2 linked regions of the Cricetulus griseus genome follow. The protein of the gene in region 1 purifies or fractionates together with the protein of each later gene. This does not show direct contact. Links are inferred from orthologs where the notes say so. Each region holds a gene or a part of one and is shown on either strand. Other genes may lie near its edges. The genes, in order: Amhr2 and Cdc37.

Region 1 (4,604 bases):
CTCTCCAGGCATGCACTCGGTGTAAAGCATAATATATGCATGTGAAACAATAAATTTTTGTTTGTTTTTTGAGTCAGGTTTCTCTGTGTAGTCCTGGCTGTCCTGGAACTCACTCTGTAGACCAGACTGGTCTCAAACTCACAGAGATCCATCTGCCTCTTATACACATAATTTTTTGAAATTTATTATTATAGAAAGGGGGAGTCTTTGGGAGCACATGCTATAGTGCGTGTGTGGGGGTCAGAGAACAACTTTGTGCAGTTCTCTCTTTCTATTTTTGCTTGGGTTCTGGGGACTGAACTCAGATCCCCAAGGCTTGCACAGCAAGCATCATAGCTGAGCCATCTCACCATCCCTCAGGGCAAATCTTTCTGTTTGTTTTTCGAGACAGCGTTTCTCTGTAGCTTTGGAGGCTGTCCTGGAATTCACTCTGTAGACCAGGCTGGTCTCGAACTCACAGAGATCCTTCTGACTCTGCCTCCCGAGTGCTGGGATTAAAGGCATGTGCCGTTACCACCTGGCTTTTTTTTTTTTTTAAGAAGTTTATATTTATTTTTATTGGTGTTTTGCCTGCATGTATGTCTGTGTAAGGGTGTAAGAAATCCTGGAACTGGAGTAACAGACAGGTGTGAGCTGCCACATGGATTCTGGGAATTGAACCCAGGTCCTCTGGAAGAGCAGACAGTGCTCTTAACCACTGAGCCATCTCTCCAGCCTGCCATATTGTTTATAAATATTGGTTAAATAAACACATGAATGAGTTGGACAGCTGTGGTTGGATATTATTTATCCAGTGGCTCATATTTAACAGTGGCTCATTTCTAGCTGGGCAGTGGTGGCACACAGGACAGGCTCCAAAGCAATATAGAGAAACCCTGTCTCGAAAAACAAAACAACAAACAACAAAAAACCCAACAGTGTCCTAAGGAAGGCACGAAGCACCTCACTTCCATGAGCACAAAAATAGGCATAGTGCACATTACCGACATTTCTTGGTGCTCACCTTAGGGTACAGTTCCAGTACCAGTAAAGGCCCAGAGGGCAGGGGGCCAGGACCCCCCTGGCCAGCAGTGATAAAGCGTACAATGTGGTTGTGCTGTAGGCCTGGCAACTGGTACACAGCTCTCTCAGCTCGGAACTGGGCCACAGCCCTTGGGGGGAAGGCCTTGATGGCTACCATCTCACCCTGTAGCCTCCCGGCCCACACGACTGCGTGACCTCCTTCTTGGATTACCTGGTGGAAACACTGCACTGAGTGCGGACCTCTGAGCTAGCATCAGAACCAGGCTTCCTCCCCAGCAGAACCTCCAAGAGTACCAGAGAAACCCACCCTCCTTTTATGAAGCACCTGGGAGAAGCACAGCTCATTCAGCTCTGGCAATTCCTCACTGCAGTCTCCGCCTGAGACTGGCTCCGGGTCTGACCCACCGTTCACTGCACAGGTCTTTCGTTGTAGCAGGGCTGAAGCAGAGAAGAGCCTTAGGGTAGGGTGCACAGGATGGAGGCAGCCAAGGAGGCTATGTGGGAAGAGAGCTTCATACAATGAAATGGGTTACAGAGATCCCAAAACTGGTGGTGGGGGGCGTCTGCAGAGCCTGAAGAAGGCTTGGAGCTTTGGGGAAGAGCCTTGCTATCACAAGGGAGGGGTGGGAGAGATTAGTACCCAAGATGATGCTGCCCAGTAGCAGCACGAGGAACATTCCCAGCAGCAGCAGTGCCATCCAGATGGGCCCACCTGGACAGCAAGGCAAGAAGACACGTGGGTGAGCACTGAACCTCTCCCCTCTTCAAAGAGATTGCTTTCCAAACCACCCCCATGCTGGTCACAAGCCCCCTTATCTCCCAGTCGCCAGGGCAACCAACTTCCCAAGGCCAGGAGGAGGGAAACTTTGGGTGGGAGTGGGCTGAGAACTGGCCCTGGTTCTCATCCTGACCTATGCTCCTACCCTTTCTGAGCTTAGTACCCTAGGGAAGGCAACTACCTGTGGTAGGCTGGGGATCCTGGGGGCCAGGCGCCCCTTGGTTCCCTGAAGGAGGCAGATGGCTGTAATTGGCATTGCAGAAGTCACTGCCACAAGAACATGTGAGGAGAGTGGAGATGGGGCTTGGGTGGGCTCGGGGGACTGGGTCACAGTGGAGGGACTCACAGCCTGGCTCATCACTGTCTCGGCATCCTGGTGGGATGGGATTGGGGGACGGAGGAAAAGGAGAGAGAGTACAATGATGTTGGGAGGCAGAAAGCACATCCCTTCTCTATCAAAGGCATCCCTCCGACATGCTTTTCTCCCATCTACACACTCCGCTTCTCCCTTTCCTCTTGGCTGCCTCCCTCAACTTGGACATGCCTCTCCTCTACCCTAGCTCTCACCCACCATATATTTTGCCATTCACCTTGCATCTCCACACGTGCCCGTCCATGGGTCAGGTTCCAGATGCCAAAGCAGCAATGGCTGTAGAGGCAGCGGATACTCTTAGGGGGTCCTGGTCTTTCATCTAGCACTTCCCCCAGTGTCTTTGCGCTTCCTCGTACTCCAGGAGCCTCAAAGAACACACAGGTCCTACTGTTTGGGGTTACTGAAATCAAAGGTGAAGAAAGGGGAGTCAAGAAGGGAGTAAAGTCAGGGGACAAACAGCAGCCAAAAGGATAAACAAAATAGGAGCCCAGGGTCAGGATGGCAGAGGCACAAGGAAACAGTCAGCAGAGGCCTGAGGCCTGATCCCCCATGGGAACAAGTGGCTCTGCCCTTCATCTTTACTCACCCAGCCCACTGACCTCTTCCTCTTCCAAAGGGGTAGCTGCTGCTTCAAGTATACCTTTCCCCTTATTGGATTGTGTTAAGACCCTGCCTGTATCTGTAGACACTTACCTTGTGCAACTGCAGGAAGCAATGTCCAAAGCCCCAGTGTCCCCAGCATCCTGCTAAAGGATGGCAGCTGGACAGCACAAACCAGCACAGCTACTCCATCCAAGGATTCCTACTGATACAGGGCACTGTAGGGCTTCCAAACTCCGCCCCCCTCTGTCCTATCCCAGTTTCTGTGGGGGAGAAGGCAGCTGTGGGGGAGAAAACAGGGAGAGAAAGGGAGGAGCAGAGAACCAATCTCATATCCTTTCTTCAACCACCTCCTCTTTTCTCTGTAGAGTGGGAGGAAGGGACCTTGGCTGCCTGGCTGAGAACCCTGTGATAACTTCAAAATCTCTACTCATCACTGACCTTGGGAGAAGGTGCTGGACCTTCAGCCTTTCCCAGGAAGATGTCAAATGTTTGGAGCCACTCAGTTCTGCCCAAGACCCTTCCTAACCCACTATTGAGAGACTGGATACGTAGCATTCTGAATAGAAGAAGACTCACAGTCCATATTACAGTAGTTCTCACTTTCCAAACTCGAATCAGAATGAATATGAAAATTTTCAGATCTAAAAAAAAAAAAAAATAGGCAGGAGGCAGAGGCTTTCACAGAGAAACCCTGTCTCAAAAATCAAAACAACAACAAAATCACACTGTAGGACTGGTGAGATGGTGCAATGGGTCAAAAGTACTAGACACTCTTTTATATATATATATATATTTTTTTTTTTCCTGAAAACAAACTTGTTTATACAGACAAGTCATGAGGGCCATCCCGGGAAGCTCCCGCAGTAGTCGAGGATCAATGTACTCTGGGGCTGGATCTGCCCAGGACAAATGCAACTACGGCCCAGGTGGTGATGATGCTGCAGACTTTTAACAGGCAGGTGATGTTGGAGGAATGTTTCCAGTAGCAGTATAGGGAGACCTGCAGGGTTGGGTGGCTCCTGTACTCCTTCAAGACACTACAGGCATCCTTAAACTTATTGGTCAGGAGCAGAAACTGGTTTGGGGTGAACCGCCTGACATCCAACCTGCAAAGATATTGGAACTCACAGTAGACCTGATGCTCGGTGACCCCAGGCCCTCTTGACGGTGAGGATGAGTGCAGGAGGCCAGATACTGGGGTAATCTGGGCCAGAAAGATTAATTTTAGGAACCCCAGCTCTGATAAGATTCACTTGGTTCACATAGTGCTCCAGCACATCCAGGTATGTGAGGTGAGCTCGTCCACAGAACCATCACCATGCACCCTCTCCAGGAGCAAGTGTGCTACTTTCAAGAGAACTGACCCGCAGAGGAAGGCATTGTATCCGGCTTCATGGGGGCACTTGGTCTCAGCATATTTCTCACACTCGCTTGCATGGATAATCTCTGGTCCAGAATTGTTAGTGGCATTCAAGTCACTGCTCAGCACATCATACACTTACTTCTGAGAGGTTGGAGGCTTGTAGGAAATGCATTTCCTTCCAGATGTCTTCTGTCACATTCTTGGTGTCGATGATGACAGGAAATAGGCTGTGGATGTTCTGCTTAAACTCATCGTAGCTTTCTGGAAGAGGTTTGAAGAACTTCTCAAGGAGATGCAGTAGGTCCATCATCATATTGTGTCCTACCAGAGACTTCTGGGCTCTCACCAACATCTTGATAAAGCCCGAAAAGCCCCTTGCAGAGAGCAGAATCTCCTCCCTCCAACACCTGATTTGATCACAAGAGTCATTCTCAAGGTACCAGCGATGAGGCTGACTGACCTTC
Region 2 (4,309 bases), on another chromosome or scaffold:
GAGGCCTTCCTCCCACCCAGCAGGCCCCAACTGTTTTCCACAAAGTAGGAAGATGAACCTCTTCATAAAACTATTCCTGAGAAGAGTTCACCAACCACAAGGGGGTCTTCAGTGCTGGCAGCTTGCCTGGCAGGCAGTCATCCTAGGAAACTGGAAGGAATGGGTGTGTGAATTGGGTGGAGGACAGACACTAATTTGGGGGAGACAGGGAGGACCTTCTAGGAGCTTCCAGATAAATGAGCAGGAGCTGCCCTCAGGAAGATGGGGTGCAAAATTCCTAACCAGAAAGTACCTGCCCTAAGCTTGAGAGTATAACAAACTCAGGGTCCAATGAGAGGGCTCGGTGGGTAAAGGTCTGCCACCAAGCCTGAAAACCTGAGTTTGATCCCCAGAACCCACATGGCAGGAGAAAACAGATTCCACCAAGTTATCCTCCGTGGACTACACATGTACATTTACACATACAGGAGTGTATACACAAATGAATAAAATACAATTTAAGCACAGGGTATAGCACACAGGTAGGTGGATATAGATGCTGTGATTTGGGAGAGCAGGTTAGACCCTTGTCTCTTTACTGTTGTGCTATGGATGGAGCCCAGGACCTCCTGCATGCCACACAAGAGCTCTATCACTAAACCACATCTCCAGACCACCCTTAGATCTTGGTAGTACACTACTGTCCCGTGGTCAATGCCGGGCAGAAGAGGGGTGGAAAACCATGGCTCAAACACACGGGATTCTAAGGTCTGAATCTGGGGGACTCTGTTCTGGACAGATGTAAAAAAATGTGTAGGATTTTATTTTATTTGCTTGGGTGTTGACAGGATCCCATGTGGTCCATGCCAGCCTCAAGCTTACTATGTGGCTGAAGGCTTTGAACTTCTGACTTTCCTGTTCCCATCTCCACAGTGCTGGGACTACAGGCCTGTCCCACCATGGCTAGCTTTTAAGCACTGCTGGAGACACAGTGCAAGGCAATGACACACAACTGAGCACCAGCCTATTTGGTTTTTGAGACAGTGTTTCATGTAGTTCAAGCTGGCCTAGAATTTAACATGTAGCAAGGATTGACTGAATTTCTCATCCTCCTACTTCTACCTCCCAAGACCTGAGTTTAAAGGTATGTGGCATCATGCTCAGGAAGTAAGGTGATGTTGGGATAAGATCCAGGAGATTCCCCCAGTTAAGTAGGATGATTTGAACACTGCAGAGAAGCCAAGGAGGCTGCAGGGGAAAGGGTGGGAAGGATAGAATAGGTTTGGGGTTCTGAGCTCAGGTTTGGTGAGTTTCTTTCTTTCTGTTTTTTGTTTGTTTGTTTTTCAAGTCAGGGTTTCTCTGTGTAGTCCTGGCTGTCCTGGAATTCTCTCTGTAAACAAGGCTGACCTGGAACTCACAGGCCTGCCTGTGCCTCCCTAGTGCTGGGATTAAAGGCGTGTACCACCACTGCCCGGCTCCTATTTTGGTGAGTATTCAATGATGGCCAAAGTTCATACAGGAGCCAGGGACAGGATGGGGGTCTACTTACTATAAAGGAGCAGGCAGAGGTTCTGGACGGAAGTTAAGTGGGTAGGGTTTCCTGGAATAAGGGGAAAAGCGTCTACAGGAGGCAAGAGTAAGGGAAGCCACAGGGCAGCAGTGGAGCTGGAGGCCACATGGAGAGAAGTCCTAGGTGGGACTGAAGTCCCCAGTGGGATTCTGGTCTGTACTCCAGGGAAAGGGACCCTGGGTTGTGGAATCCCAGCGGAAAGCTAAGATCGGGAAATTAAGTGTAAGACACAGTTCTCATTCAGTTTGGGAGTTGGGGGCAGGGTATCTCTGGGCCTTAATGTAAATTTGTGCTTAAGATCCTGGGAAGTAGATGCCCCAATCAAATCAAAAGTATCGTGGACCCAGACTCCAGGGGCTGAGAAGAGGCAGAAGGGAGGTGTTCAATCAGCAGTGGGCACATGGCTAGAACAAGGGAGAGCCTAACAGAATCTGAGTTCTGGACTCCGAGAAAGAATTCTGAGGAGAAAAAAAGGTTCCATACAGGATGATGGGGACCCCTACTCACAAGGGCCGGCGTTTGGAGAGTCTAGACTCTGATGAAAGTATTAGGAGTTGATAAGAAGATTCAGTGTGTATAGGAGGTGCTTGTGGCAAATTGGGGTGACCTAAGTTCCATGCCCAGTTCCAACGTGGTGAAAGGAGAGGCCTGACTTCTGTTAACTGTCCTTTAATCTACAGATACAAGCTGTGCCACGAGCACACAAGACACACCACTACAAGTAAACTAACAAACAAATGTACAAATAAAATAAAAGAGATAGCAGCGGGGAAAGCCCAGAGATGACCGTGGAGAGTTAGGAAGCCCAGTGATCCTGAAGTCCTGGGATGGAATTTAACAGTCCAGGCCACATGACGGTATACACCTTTAATCCCAGCACTGGGAAGGCAGAGGCAGGCGGATCTCTGTGAGTTAGTGGCCAGCCTGGTCTACATAGCAAGTTCCAGGCCAGGCAAGGCTATAGTGAGATCCTGGTTCGATTTTTTTTAAAAAATAAGAGAGACAGAAAGTTCAGATTGTGGAATAGGAGGCTCCCGATGTCAATAACTGAGTTTCCCCCGACCCGCCCGAACCAGGGCGGCCAGGGTAAGAGGTCAGAACTCTAGAGCGGGGGGTCCCGGGAGTGGGGGGAAGGGGATGCGCGCGCACAGCCCCACCTGGTGCCGCCAGCGGAAGAGGCTGGCCGTGTCGATGTTGGGGTGCGTCTCGTCCTCATCGTCCGACACCTCGATGTGATCCCAAACGCTGTAGTCCACCATCTTCGCCTAGGAGGCCCGGATTGGCTCCCGGCGCTCCACACGGCCGGGCGCTGAACAGGGACCCACAAGGGATAGAGAGTCCGCTCGCGGAGCCCCGCCCCTTCCGCTTCCGCTCACGGCGCCGCGCACGACGGCCCCGCCCCAGCATCCGCGCGTGACGTCACGTCCTTAGCAACGGGACTCGGCGGCACTGACGACCGGAGGTGATTCTTAAAGGGCCAGGCTCACGTTGTTCAGCCTTCTGGGAGTTCCCGCCGAAACCCAACCGAGCATCCCCTGGGGACAAAAAAGGTAGTTGCCTAGGGGTTGTCGGCCCACGGTAGTCCCAGCACTTGGAAAGCAAAGTCAGGCCACTCTCAGCGAGTTCTAGGCAGGCCTGATCGACACAGTTCCAGGCCAGCCAGGGCTCCGCAGTGAGATTCTGTCTCAAAAAAATCAAAATTGAGCCGGGCGTTGGTGGCGCACGCCTTTAATCCCAGCACTCGGGAGACAGAAGCAGGCGGATCTCTGTGAGTTTGAGGCCAGCCTGGTCTACAAGAGCGAGTGCCAGGACAGGCTCCAAAGCCACAGAGAAACTCTGTCTCGAAAAACCAAAAAGAAACGCCTTATATCCCAACACTCAGGAGGCAGAGGCAGGTCTATAAATCGAGTGCCAGGACTGTTACACAGAGAAACCCTGTATTGAAAAACAAAACAAACAGAAAAGAGTGAAATTTTGCGGTTTTTTTTAGGGGTGGGGTGGGAGTTGAGACAGGGTTTCAACAGCTGCAACAGCTCTGGCTGTTCTGTAACTAGCTCTGTAGTCCAGGCTGGCCTGGAATGAGTTGAGATCCACCTGCCTCTGCCCCCACCAGTACTGGGATTAAAGGCGAGCACCACCAGTGCCCGACAGATTTTTACTTTTCTTAAGATTTATTTACTTACTTATTGTGTTTACAACATTCTGCCTGCTTGTATGCCTGCACAGCAGAAGAGAGCACCAGATCTCATTACAGATGGTTGTGAGCCACCATGTGGTTGCTGGGAATTGAACTCAGGACCTCTGGAAGAGTAGTTAGTGTTCTTAACCTCTGAGCCATCTCTCCAGCCCCGATTTTTACTCTTAAAAAAAATTTTTTTTTTCAAGACAGGGTCTCACTATGTAGCCCTGGCTGTCCTCGAACTCACTATGTAGACTGAGCTGGCCTTGAACTCACAGATCTCCTTGCTTCTGCCTCCCAATGCTGGTATTGAAATCATGCTCCACTACACTGGGTCTGCCCTTAAAATTTATTTTTTTAAATTACATTTCAGGGGCTGAAGAGATGGCTTAGCAGTTAAGAGCATTGGCTGCTGTTCCAGATGACACAGGTTCAATTTCCAACACCCACATAGCAGTCCATAACTGTCTGTAACTCCAGCTCCAGATGTTTTATTTTATTTTTTGGTTTTTTGAGACAGGGTTTCTCTGTGGCTTTGGAGGCTGTCCTGGAACTAGCTCTTGTAGACCAGGCTGGTCTTG

The links.
Region 2: the proteins of Amhr2 (region 1) and Cdc37 purify together in Homo sapiens (co-immunoprecipitation; 3 studies listed by BioGRID and IntAct, with this or other methods). This does not show direct contact. The link is inferred for Cricetulus griseus from reciprocal best matches to the Homo sapiens genes AMHR2 and CDC37.

What each region holds. Positions count from the first base shown.
Region 1 is NC_048595.1:398,821,508-398,826,111, reverse strand, and holds the start of Amhr2 (anti-Muellerian hormone type-2 receptor), read right to left. Parts: upstream 2,917-4,604; coding exon 2,868-2,916; exon of another isoform or gene 2,575-2,867; coding exon 2,392-2,574; intron 2,175-2,391; coding exon 1,983-2,174; intron 1,736-1,982; coding exon 1,664-1,735; intron 1,462-1,663; coding exon 1,349-1,461; intron 1,235-1,348; coding exon 1,004-1,234; intron 1-1,003. UniProt on the Homo sapiens protein: On ligand binding, forms a receptor complex consisting of two type II and two type I transmembrane serine/threonine kinases.
Region 2 is NC_048597.1:134,006,898-134,011,206, forward strand, and holds the start of Cdc37 (hsp90 co-chaperone Cdc37), read right to left. Parts: upstream 2,921-4,309; 5' UTR 2,809-2,920; coding exon 2,707-2,808; intron 1-2,706. UniProt on the Homo sapiens protein: Co-chaperone that binds to numerous kinases and promotes their interaction with the Hsp90 complex, resulting in stabilization and promotion of their activity. Inhibits HSP90AA1 ATPase activity.